3 linked regions of the Astyanax mexicanus genome follow. The protein of the gene in region 2 purifies or fractionates together with the protein of the main gene of each other region. This does not show direct contact. Links are inferred from orthologs where the notes say so. Each region holds a gene or a part of one and is shown on either strand. Other genes may lie near its edges.

Region 1 (3,756 bases), on a different chromosome or scaffold from region 2:
TGGGTCATCTTTACATACACTGCCCTTCTAAGATCTAATAACAGGTTCTCAGTTATATGTAGGTTAGAGGAATGTGGGGGCAATGGCAAAACATTTTCAGCTTGTACATCTAAAGGTTGTCTATTGTAGATTTTGAGATGTTTGGGATTTGGGATAATTGTCCTGCTGTAGAGGCCGTCCTCTTTTCATCGTATCTAATCTTATCTAATTTCATATGGTGTGACATTTTCCTAGATAATTTGCTGCATAGATGTTACATTTTAGTGATATCTGTGCTTTAACACACCCCCTGCAACTTATAAAGGGCTTGTTAATTACCTGATTAGTTAAACTGGGTGTGATAGAAGAAGGAGAGACATAAATGCCGGGCACAGTGGTAACTAAGGGGTTAGAACATCACGTTATTATTGACAGGGTTGTGGGTTTTATACCTGGGTTCAGCAAGCTTCTATTGTTCGGCCCATAAGCAACCCCCACAGCACCTGCAGGCACTGCAACGAAGGCTGCCCACTGCTCCAGGTACAAGTCCTCACACTGTGTGTGTGTGTGTGTGTGTGTATGTGCTAGTGTGTTAACTAAACAGATTAAAATGAGTCAAAAGTGAGTTTATATTTTCTATATCTTTGCAATAAAATAATTTAATTATTTAGTATACAAGATATTCCTCAATTAACTTGTTTTTAATCATAGTACATCCTTATTTTTTTTACCGTTCTTATTTTTCAATAAAAGCCCCTTAATGCGCAACATGGGTCAAAAATTATTTCATTTTCTGTTAATTCATGTATGGCTGAGTGTTTCTATGAGTGTTTTTATTTTCCTTTATTACTTTATGAAGAAGAAGCTTTTGTATTTCTACATCAGTTTTATTCTCGTAATATTACAACTTTATTCTTGTAATATTACAACTTTAATCTTGTAATATTGTGAATTTAATCTCGTAATATTGTGAATTTAATATTGTACATTTACAACCTTATTTTCGTAATATTACAACTTTATTCTTCTAATATTACAACTTTAATTTTGTAATATTGAGAATTTAATCTCGTAATATTGTGAATTTAATCTTCGTTATATTACTTTATTCTTGTAATATTGCAAGTTTAATCTTGTAATATTATGACTTTAATCTCTTAATTTTACGACTTTAATCTTGTCATATTACGACTTTATTCTTGTAATATTGCGACTTTCATTTCGTAATATTACGACTTTAATCTCGTAATTTTGCGACTTTAATTCCGTAATATTAAGACGTATTCTCGAAGTAAACCGTTTTTATTTTTATTTTTTTAAGAGTGGCCCTAAAACGCCGCCGTAGAAAACCCGTCTGGTTGCTGTGTATATTTTCCAGAGGCCGGGCTTTTATTTTGAAGTAGTCCAGATGAAGCCCAGTCGGAAACGGCCCCCATATTTTTCTCTGTTGTTCCGTGTTTTGTGCCCCGTGGCGTTTAGTTCCCACGTTTGTTTTGCAGAGACTGGAGGATATCCTCTCCGTTTAACGCCGCGAGCAGCAGCGCGGGATCCGAGGTAAGCGAGCGCCGCCGCCGCTGTGCTGAGTTTTATTCAGTAAATAACTTGTAGCGGAGAGTTAGTGAGGGGAGTGAGCTGCTGCTGCAGCCTCTCTCTCTCTGTGTCTGTGTTCCTGTAGCTCCTTCAGCCAGATCATCAGCTGCCTCTGTATTCATATAACATTTAAACACAATATTTAACCAGCTCATTCTGTAGCAGCGACCGACAGACATTCATTCTTCTGATTTGGCATTGTCAGCGCGTTAGATTAACCAATAACCCTAAGTGCTTTTATTGTTCCTCAGATCGATTTAAAAGTATTGTTTGACCAAGCTTTATATAAGCTGCATACATGTAAAGTCTCAGGTCTCTTATAGAGATAAGAAACATTTATATTTAACTGGTGCAGCACTTTTCAAAATAGAGAGCTATTAACCCATAACAGACCAGACCCATTTATAAATATTGATACTAAGATCAAAATTAAATCACCTAAATTCAGTGAGCAGCTCTTTCGTGATTTTTATTGTGGGAACATGCCTCTGTATTTAAAACATTTCTCCCAAATTCCAAATAAAAATATAGTAATTTAGAGCATTTATTTGCAGAAAATGGGAAATGGCTGAAATAACAAAAACGATTCATTCATATTCATAAAGTTTTAAGAGTTCAGAAATTAATATTTGGTGGAAAAATCCTCACAGATTTCATGCATCTTGGCATGTTCTCCTCCACCAGTCATATACATTGCTTTTTAATAACTTTATTCCACTCCTGGTGCAAAAATTCAAGCAGTTCAGCTTGGTTTGATGGTTTGTGATCATTCATCTTCCTCTTGAATCAAAAAACTTGTTTTATTTTTTTCCAGAGCTGTAGTATATACTTATGTACATGTTACATGTTAATTCTCAGGTCCCATTTTTTTGCCTTTGAAACATTATATTAAACTAATACAGTACTCTTTAAAACAAAGAGCTGTTAACTCATGGGATCCCAGATCAATTGAATATTAGTACCAAAATAAAAAAGTGAATCAGATCAATTCAGTGAGCAGCTCCCTCATGATTTTCTTTTATTGTGGGAACATGACTTATGATTTTAATCAAAAAATCCTGATTACAAGTGACACAACCAGTTTCATAACTGGTATTTTAACATCCACCTCTAGAAATCAGGTCAGGACTAGTTATATGGAATGTTTTCTCGTGGGAACATTTAATGAAAGCAATTGTTCAAATGGTTGAAACAGAGACCTGCTGAATCAATAAAATACTCCTACATTCTGTAAATAGGTCTGATAGTAATGCTCTCAAGATGTTCAGTATGTGTCTCTGTGACGTATATCATCATGGGCTAAAACTGTTATAGGTTAAAACTGTGCATTTTTCATTTATTTGTCACCCAGTTTTAAAAGAATTAGTTTATTAACTACCTGTAACTAACTGTTATATTTTTTATTTTGTTAATGATTAGGGAAACACCACAGCCAATGGCTGCCAAATAAAACAGAACATTTATTTTAGTGAACAGTGATTATTTTATTTATTTATTATTTATGTTTTGGTGTTGTGTATGCTGGGTGTTAATGTTTATTGTTCAATAAAATAGTTAAACTGTGGTTTTGCAATTTCTTGCTTTTTGCTTTGAAAAGCAAGACAAGAGTTGGGTTAGGACTCCACGATATTAAAAAAAAAACTCAAATTGCAATTGTATTTATTCCACACATAATATTGTGATATTTAAAAAATACAGGAATTTGTCTCAAATTAATAACAAAATAAAATAAATATTATTGGACAGAAGGAATCTGCTTATGGTAGACATGTCATAGAAAGAAAGTACAGCTATACAAAGCTATGCTTTTAAAATAATGCTACTCTTAGCACAATATGGATTGTTTAAAATCCCAACATAAGTGTTTGATGATGTATTGTGTACGATACATTATGTCACACCAATACTTGGTATTATAAAGAATAACAAAGAATTAGCTTTTCGTCTTTCTACCAAATTGCGATAAAAATAATACATTTCTTGTTGCCACTAAGTCTTTTTTGTAAGTTGAGCTGGCATTTTTTTTCTGCAAGTCCTCCAGTGTTCCTAAAAACTTAAAATGGTCTATGTGAATTGTTTCCCTCACATTCTCAACTGTTGTCCACACAGTGGCTGTATTTCCCAACACAGTCTTACGAGATAGATTGATTCAGATCTGCTGTTGTTTATGAGATGACTTGATCTTTC
Region 2 (3,756 bases):
TGCCTAACTTTCCTTTTTTTTTACACTCGTCTTTCTTTCTTTCTTTCTTTCTTTCTTTCTTTCTTTCTTTCTTTCTATAGCATATAAACTGCATAATTAGCACTAGTAGACCTCTCACACACTGATATACCAAGGTTTAAGATTAGATTAAATTAGATTATTTTATTTTGTTATCTTATTTTTTCTTATTTCATAGAACACAGCAAGAGTTCTGATTATTCAAATGACTGAATAATATCCAGCCAAAGAAAAAGGATCTACAGGTATTATTATACCTACATAATTCCTTCAATCTCTCATTCTTAAAAGTTATGTTACAGTAATGATTGTTATAAGTATAAAAAGTTAAATAATTCTGACACAATAACAATGATAAAAATGATATTATAAGAAGAATATGAAATATGTTAATTGTTTAGTTGTATTTAATGTAACTGAATGTATGTAAACTGTTAAAAAATAATGACATTTTATAATTACAATAAATACATAAAAATAACAATAAGAACCAAAATTAATCTTTTATTTCAGCTTGGGGGTGGGACAACATAGAGTTTGGTCTTCAGAAAATCAGAATATCAATATCAATGTCAATTAAATTTAATTATGGATAGATTAAGTATTAAAGTAGTCACATTATATCAATATCAATAAATTACATATTAATAAAATAATCTTGAATGTATTTATTCTTTTTAAAGCAAGCTTTTCTAAAACTATTTTTGTTTATTTTTTTATTTATTTTATTTTATTATTTGTATAGATATTTCCATAGTATTTTCTTCTTTTATTTCATGGTTGCATTACTTACTTTCTTATCCTATTTTTTTAAATCATTTTCTTTCTTTCTTTCTTTCTTTCTTTCTTTCTTTCTTTCACTCTGCATGCCTTTTAATGTATAAAATCTCCGTGTACTTTTATTTTGAAAGGTTGCACTGGTCGCTTCCATGTTTGAGGAAGTGTTGACGTTGATTATCTCCTGGATGCGGTGGCTCGCGCTGATTATGAGGAGATATGAGTAGATTATGAGAGATGTTTTTAGATTTATAGAGGAGTAATGGGTGTTTCGGGGTTCACGGCTGTTCTGGGGGCGCTCGGCGGGCTTGATATCGGGAGCAGCGGCTCGTAAAGCCTCTGAGAGCGGTAGAATGCTGTGCTGTGGTCCGAGCCCTCGGGCCGGTTAGCTGTAGCTGTAGTCAGTGTACGGAGCGGTCAGTCTGTTGGAGATAATTATTACTATAGAGTACTGTAGCTCTGTGTACCTGTGTTTATATGAAGCAGTTTGGTCAGGTTAGTTAACTTACAGTCCAGCAGAAACACGATGGATGAGAAGTACAGCAGTAATGTAATCTCCGGGGGGAAACTGGGGAGAGTTGAAGTGCCTAATGCCAGGTAACCGGCTCTTTAAAGGTCTCATTCTGTTCTGTTGTGATTGTATTATCATTATACCAACAGCATAAACATTTCCCTAGAATGGCAATAATACTGTTTAATCACAGTTTTTTGGGACGGTATGTCATCCATAAAATGAGTTATTGTGACAGATCTGTTGTCAAATGCAATGAGAATATAATTGTTCAATTTCTGTTGATGTTTTATATCTTGGCCTCATGTTTATTTTGTTAATTTCAGGTTGACCAGATATATAGTCCTACTTCTACTCACCAAGCTGTTGAAGGCTCTGGGAATCTTTGAATCCTATGATCTCCTTAAAGTTGTACATGTTGTGCAATTCCTTTTTATTCTTAAATTTGGGTAAGTGTTTTTTTTTTTTTTGTTTCTTTTTATTCAGTACATTCAATAATAAAACTTTATTTTTATATAGCGCTTTTCTAAAACCTGAAGACGCTTACAATCATCATTAGTAGAAACATAGATACAAACAATAAAACAACAAGCAACAGCAGACACATCAACCTAACAGTAGTATGACAACTAGACAGCAGATATGAGTGGTAGAGCACATTAAACCGAGGGAGAGCCATAGATGAGTGAGTCTTGAGATTCGATTTAAACATAGAAAGAAAGGAAGATTGTTTTTCCGCAGATGGGAGAGAATTCCATAGTTGAGGAGCAAGAGGATGGGACTTTACAATATGAACCAAATCCATTTGTACATGCTAACATTTCCTAACATATTTCCTTTCCGGTATGTCTCTCTAACACAGGTGTGCAGTGATTTTACTTTTCTTTCAAAAACCATTCTCATCAGGAAAAATAGTCTCTAAAAGACAGGTATGTGTTGGATAGATACTGCTAAACATTTTACAACACTTTGTTAAACAGTGTATCAAATTGACGATTAACATCACTACCAAATGCTTCTCTTTCAGTGGATCAAAATCCTCAAACATGCTGTTATCAGCTGCATAATCTCACTCATAGGCTTTTTTGGGCTTACACTTTGTGGACCACTAAGGTGAGTCTGTGACCCACAGCTATTAAACTCTTAAACTTAAACTCTATCCTGTTTATAGTTTTGTAATTTTATCATGACCAGGCAACTGAGCTGAGTTTATTTCTGCAGGACGTTGCTGCTGTTTGAGCACAGTGATGTGGTGGTCATCTGTTTTCTCAGCGTTCTCTTTACCAGCTCTGGAGGAGGACCCTCTAAGGTTGGACATGTTGAAGTTGATGCTATTTGCAATAAATTGTCAAAGACTATTTATGAATTTGGTTTGATTGATTGTTTGGTTTTGTTTTGTTTAGACACGAGGCGCTGCTTTCTTCATCATTGCGGCCATCTGTCTGCTGCTGTTTGATAATGATGACTTAATGGCAAAAATGGCTGAACACCGTATCCTTTTTTCCAGTGTCAGTGTGAAGTGTTTAGACAAAAAAAATTGATAATCTGTTGTATATCCGAATATCGATGTGGAATGCATCTTTTCTTTTTTTCAGGCTAAGTAGTTGTTTGATGCAGACATTGTGGATCTCTACCCAATGTTGCCAACTTTTTGTCTGTAGAGTATTGTTTTCAGAACCCTCTAGCAGAGTATTTTCAAAAACTATAGACAAGTCTATTGACTCTTTGTACCAGCTTACCGCTACATTGCACAGAGAATCACTCAAAATGCACATTATAGTATCACAAGTGTCTTACAAGCCTTTAAATGCATGCTTCAATGCAACTCCTTTTTGTGATTTTCTACATTTTAACACAGTCAATATTTACACCCAAACCACTCATTAGGACTCCCCCTATCACTAGTAATGCTACAACACCAGGAGTGTGAAGACTAGCACATGCATGCCTCCTCTGATACATGTGAAGTCAGCCACCACTTATTTTAGATCTGCTGCTGATGCAGCATTGTCGAGTAGCATCACAGCGCACTCGGAGGAAAGTGCAGCGGCTCGGTTCCGATACATCAGCTCACAGAAGCCTTGTGCTGATCAACATAACCCTTTGGAGTGATAAGGGAGGAGCGCGCCATCTACCCAACCAGAGAGAGCAAAGGCCAGTTGTGCTCTCTCAGGGCTTTGGCAGCTGATGGCAAGCTGCATGACTGGGATTTGGGCCAGCGAGCTCCTGATCGTAGTGGTAGCACTTAGCCTGCTGGACCACTCGGAGCCATACTTTTCTCTTTTAAAACATTTTACAAAATCCAATAGTTTTGCACTTTTTTTCAGTTTGGTTTTATTTATCTGGTACAGAGAGTAAGAGACTGTAAAGTCTTGATATGTGACCTTAGGCAGAATGTTAATATGACATGATCTTACAAATTTGATCATTTGTGCAATACAAAAGCTGAT
Region 3 (3,756 bases), on a different chromosome or scaffold from region 2:
TACAACTAATATTAAGCTGTCACTGAGACTGATAAACATACTAAGGTAAACAAAATTACATTTCTGTCTTAATGTTATATGGTTTTGTCTTTAAAAATTAGAACTAAATAACTTTTTTAAACACCTAAATCTTCATCACATCACATCTGTGATTAAATGTTGGTTGTGCCTGTGTAAATACATTCAGTCAACATCTCTAAACAAAATGAACAAAGTGTTGCTACGAGTTACCCATTAATGGACGTTCTTGAGATGATGGGACTGAAGATGGTGGAGAAGAACGAGTGGTAGAGTTGTGTGAAAAGCCATCCAGATTTCTCTACACTGTTTTCAAGAAAGGTTTGAGTGTCTGTGTCTAAATTACTCTGCACAAACAGTGGTCGAATCTTCTCACCAAGCATATCAGGACAGCAACGGTACCACTGAAATTACACAAGGCCCATCCATCAATCACATGCACATCCCTGATGAAGAAAAGCTGGTCATCTATTGTAACAAAAGTCAATGACGCAGAATATCATCATACTAATATTGCACTCAAATGTCTCCAGGTTTAAAGTAAAACGAATGATACTGGATAGATATTATCAGCCTCTAGTAGAAATATAATGGGAAATGAGAACAGTGTAAAATTTACTTTTGCTAAAAACAGCCAGAAAAGTAGTACCCTGATGTGATGATTAGGGGTGGGTGATATGCACGATATTTCAGGGTATAATATCTTTAACACTATTCAAAAATGTTGCCAATATTATTGCGTACAATACAATATGTCGCACCTCTAATCACAATTATCAAATAGTATGGTGGTTGTGTGAAATTTATTGTACAAGTCAATAATGTAACTATTGTGACAGGCACAGTTACAGCAGAATAATCTTTAATTTAATTTAAAACAAAACCATGGTTTTTATATCACCAAAAATATAGTTATAACAAAAATACCCTATATAACCCTATATAACAAAATATGACCCTAAAATATTTTAGGGTCATATCGCCCACCCCCTAGCTGTCATAGCTAGCTCACTAATTTGTTTAGCTTGGTCAATAGGATCATGGTTTAGACCAGCTAAACCATCAAACCCAAAACTAAAGCTAAAGCATGCTCTGTAGCTCCTGAACAACAGCTAAGCGGGGCAACCAGTCTAGCCAGCTCAAGCTGGTTAGACTGTTTTTTTTCCTAAGCAGAGAAATCCTTCTCATGAATATTCACTGAAATATTGAAATATATATACAAATCTGGAAAAAGTTAAGAGACCACGTTAAAAATCATTAGTTTCTTTGATTTTACCAAATTGAAAACCTCTGTAATATAATCACGAGGAAGATGAATGACCACAAGCCATTATACCAAACTGAACTGCTTGAATTTTTGCACCAGGAGTGGCATAATGTTATCCAAAAGCAGTGTGAAAGACTGGTGGAGGAGAATATGCCAAAATGCACGAAAACCAGGGTTATTTCACCAAATATTGATTTCTGACATCTTTAATACTTGTAAATATGAACATGTTTTCTTTGCATTATTTGAGGTCTGAAAGCTCTGCATCTGTTACTTCAGCTATTTTTCATTTTCTGCACATAAATGCGCTAAATGACAATATTTTTATTTGGAACTTGGGAGAAACGTTGGCCGTAGTTTATAGAATAAAGAAACAATGTTCATTTTACTCATATACCTATAAATTGCTAAATCATAAAAACTGATTCAGAAACTGTAGTGGTTTAATTTTTTTTCCCAGAGCTCAAGAGTTCAGAAATTAATATTTGACATAGAACAGTCCTTACATCCTGGCACTAAACCCTCAGTAAATCTGAGCAAACACATTATATATGTATATTACATAGGTATATTATTGAATTCACGTTAAAAAGAAGGGATATTTACCTCCTGGAAGTCTGGCCCTGTAAACTCAGTGTCGGTCACCATGTTCATAATCGCGGCTCGAGCCAGAGGACTGCGGACGTACTTCCCAGACCACATCCTCCTCCGCGCTGCTAGCAGAACCGCCACATAAAGCACCACCCAGCCTCCAAACAGCAGAGCCCTCATCTGTACAGAGCACACAGCCAGATAAATAAATAACACACACAGGTCCTGAGCGACCTCAGCTCCTCTTCTATTACAACTCCCTGAGGAACATTACTCCAGGTGCTGCAGGTATAAATACACTTAAATACCCCCCCCCCAAAAAAACACACAAACACACACAGACCTGAAGGCGTGGTGGAGATTAGAGGACCCCATCTTCTGTCAGAGAATCGCTAATCCCAAAAACACACCGATAACGCGTTAATAAAGCGCTGCATCAGCGAGGCGCTGCTGTTAAAACAGCTACTGCACTACAGTAATGACGGAGAGCCGGTGGAGGTGAAGCGCTTCCTGGGTTAGATGCAGGGTTGCCAGGTCCAACAAAAGTATCCAGCCCAAAGTCAGTCTAAAATCCTCCCTTCAAAAGCCTAACGTGTCTATCACAAGTTCGGAGCAAATGGCAAATTTCGAGTGTACGACTTAGTATTTTGTTTATGAGGGATTTATTACCAGTATTGCTATTTATCTTAAAGTCATTAATAATATTGTAATATTAGTGTTTTATTATTTATTTTACAGCAGTTTTATATCACAGTCAAGAACATTTAATAGTAACATAATTAGCAAAACAATAACGTTTAATTTCTCTTTTCTGTTCTTGCCCCTCTCGAACTCTCTTCTCTTCTCTTTAATATTTTTTCCATCATTTTCTGGTTCTTATTGATGTAATCAATCTTCCAATTATTAATTATTTTAGTGTCGACTCGTACACGTTTGACATAACAAGACGAACCCCGCTTTTTTGTTTTTTGGCGGACGCTGTCATTTTTAAAAGTAGCCCCAAAACGCACCTTGCCACCCCAGACTTTTCACCGGCTAATGGATTTTCAAACAAGCCCGATTTGGCGCAAAAACGCGAATCTGGCAACTCTTGATATGAATTCCTTCGTCATCAGTGTAATCCAGAGGCGTGTAATCAGCTCCAGTCCCCAGCAGGTGGCGCTCCACCTCCTCTCACTGAGTTTCACATTTAACATAAAATCATTACACTACAAATCTGGGAATTAACAGTAAAATAAAGAAAAAGTTAAACTAACTATATAACTATATACTTGTTAATGCTGTTAACAATAAAATATTCAATTGGGTTAAAGTGAAGAATTTATAAATTAGGAATTACACACTCTTTCAACTTTATTTACTCATTATTGTTTGTTTTACTGTTTTACTTCAATATATTTTAGACATTTAGTCCACTTTTTATAAAATGTCCCCCTTTAAATTTTATTTTATTTGACTTATTTGAGCTAAGTTTTGTGGACACTTAATGTGGATATCATTGTTTTCTTTTCCTTTTTTTGTTTGTTTATTGTTACTTGATGCGTTTTAGACACTAAAAAGGTCATATTTTGAAAGTTTTTCTTTTGAGGATTTTCTTTTTTATTTTTATTTTGCTCTTTTACTTTAAGCAATTAAGACACTCAACTTTTTTTAAGATTTCAGGAGGAATTCTATTTGGCATTTTTATTGTTTTATTGTTTTTTTTATTATTATTATTTGATTTAGTCTCCAAACAATATTTTCCAAAAAAAATGCTCATTTCGAATATTATTTGTTTTTGAAGTTTTATTACTTTTATTTATTTATTTTTGTTACATTTACTTTTTACTTAGTTTTTTGTTTGTGCTTTAGGCACTTAAGTCACCTTTTTTAAATATTCA

What was found.
Region 1: the proteins of slc30a5 (region 2) and csgalnact2 purify together in Homo sapiens (co-immunoprecipitation; 3 studies listed by BioGRID and IntAct, counting the BioPlex papers as one, with this or other methods). This does not show direct contact. The link is inferred for Astyanax mexicanus from reciprocal best matches to the Homo sapiens genes SLC30A5 and CSGALNACT2.
Region 3: the proteins of slc30a5 (region 2) and mettl9 purify together in Homo sapiens (co-immunoprecipitation; 3 studies listed by BioGRID and IntAct, with this or other methods). This does not show direct contact. The link is inferred for Astyanax mexicanus from reciprocal best matches to the Homo sapiens genes SLC30A5 and METTL9.

The regions. Positions count from the first base shown.
Region 1 is NC_064414.1:37,655,798-37,659,553, forward strand, and holds the start of csgalnact2 (chondroitin sulfate N-acetylgalactosaminyltransferase 2), read left to right. Parts: upstream 1-1,386; 5' UTR 1,387-1,533; intron 1,534-3,756. UniProt on the Homo sapiens protein: Transfers 1,4-N-acetylgalactosamine (GalNAc) from UDP-GalNAc to the non-reducing end of glucuronic acid (GlcUA). Required for addition of the first GalNAc to the core tetrasaccharide linker and for elongation of chondroitin chains.
Region 2 is NC_064408.1:19,571,394-19,575,149, forward strand, and holds the start of slc30a5 (zinc transporter 5), read left to right. Parts: upstream 1-931; 5' UTR 932-1,321; coding exon 1,322-1,392; intron 1,393-1,632; coding exon 1,633-1,755; intron 1,756-2,168; coding exon 2,169-2,235; intron 2,236-2,333; coding exon 2,334-2,419; intron 2,420-2,527; coding exon 2,528-2,615; intron 2,616-2,709; coding exon 2,710-2,797; intron 2,798-3,756. UniProt on the Homo sapiens protein: Together with SLC30A6 forms a functional proton-coupled zinc ion antiporter mediating zinc entry into the lumen of organelles along the secretory pathway.
Region 3 is NC_064422.1:28,298,406-28,302,161, forward strand, and holds the start of mettl9 (methyltransferase-like protein 9), read right to left. Parts: upstream 2,373-3,756; 5' UTR 2,220-2,372; intron 2,057-2,219; coding exon 1,892-2,056; intron 423-1,891; coding exon 232-422; intron 1-231. UniProt on the Homo sapiens protein: Protein-histidine N-methyltransferase that specifically catalyzes 1-methylhistidine (pros-methylhistidine) methylation of target proteins.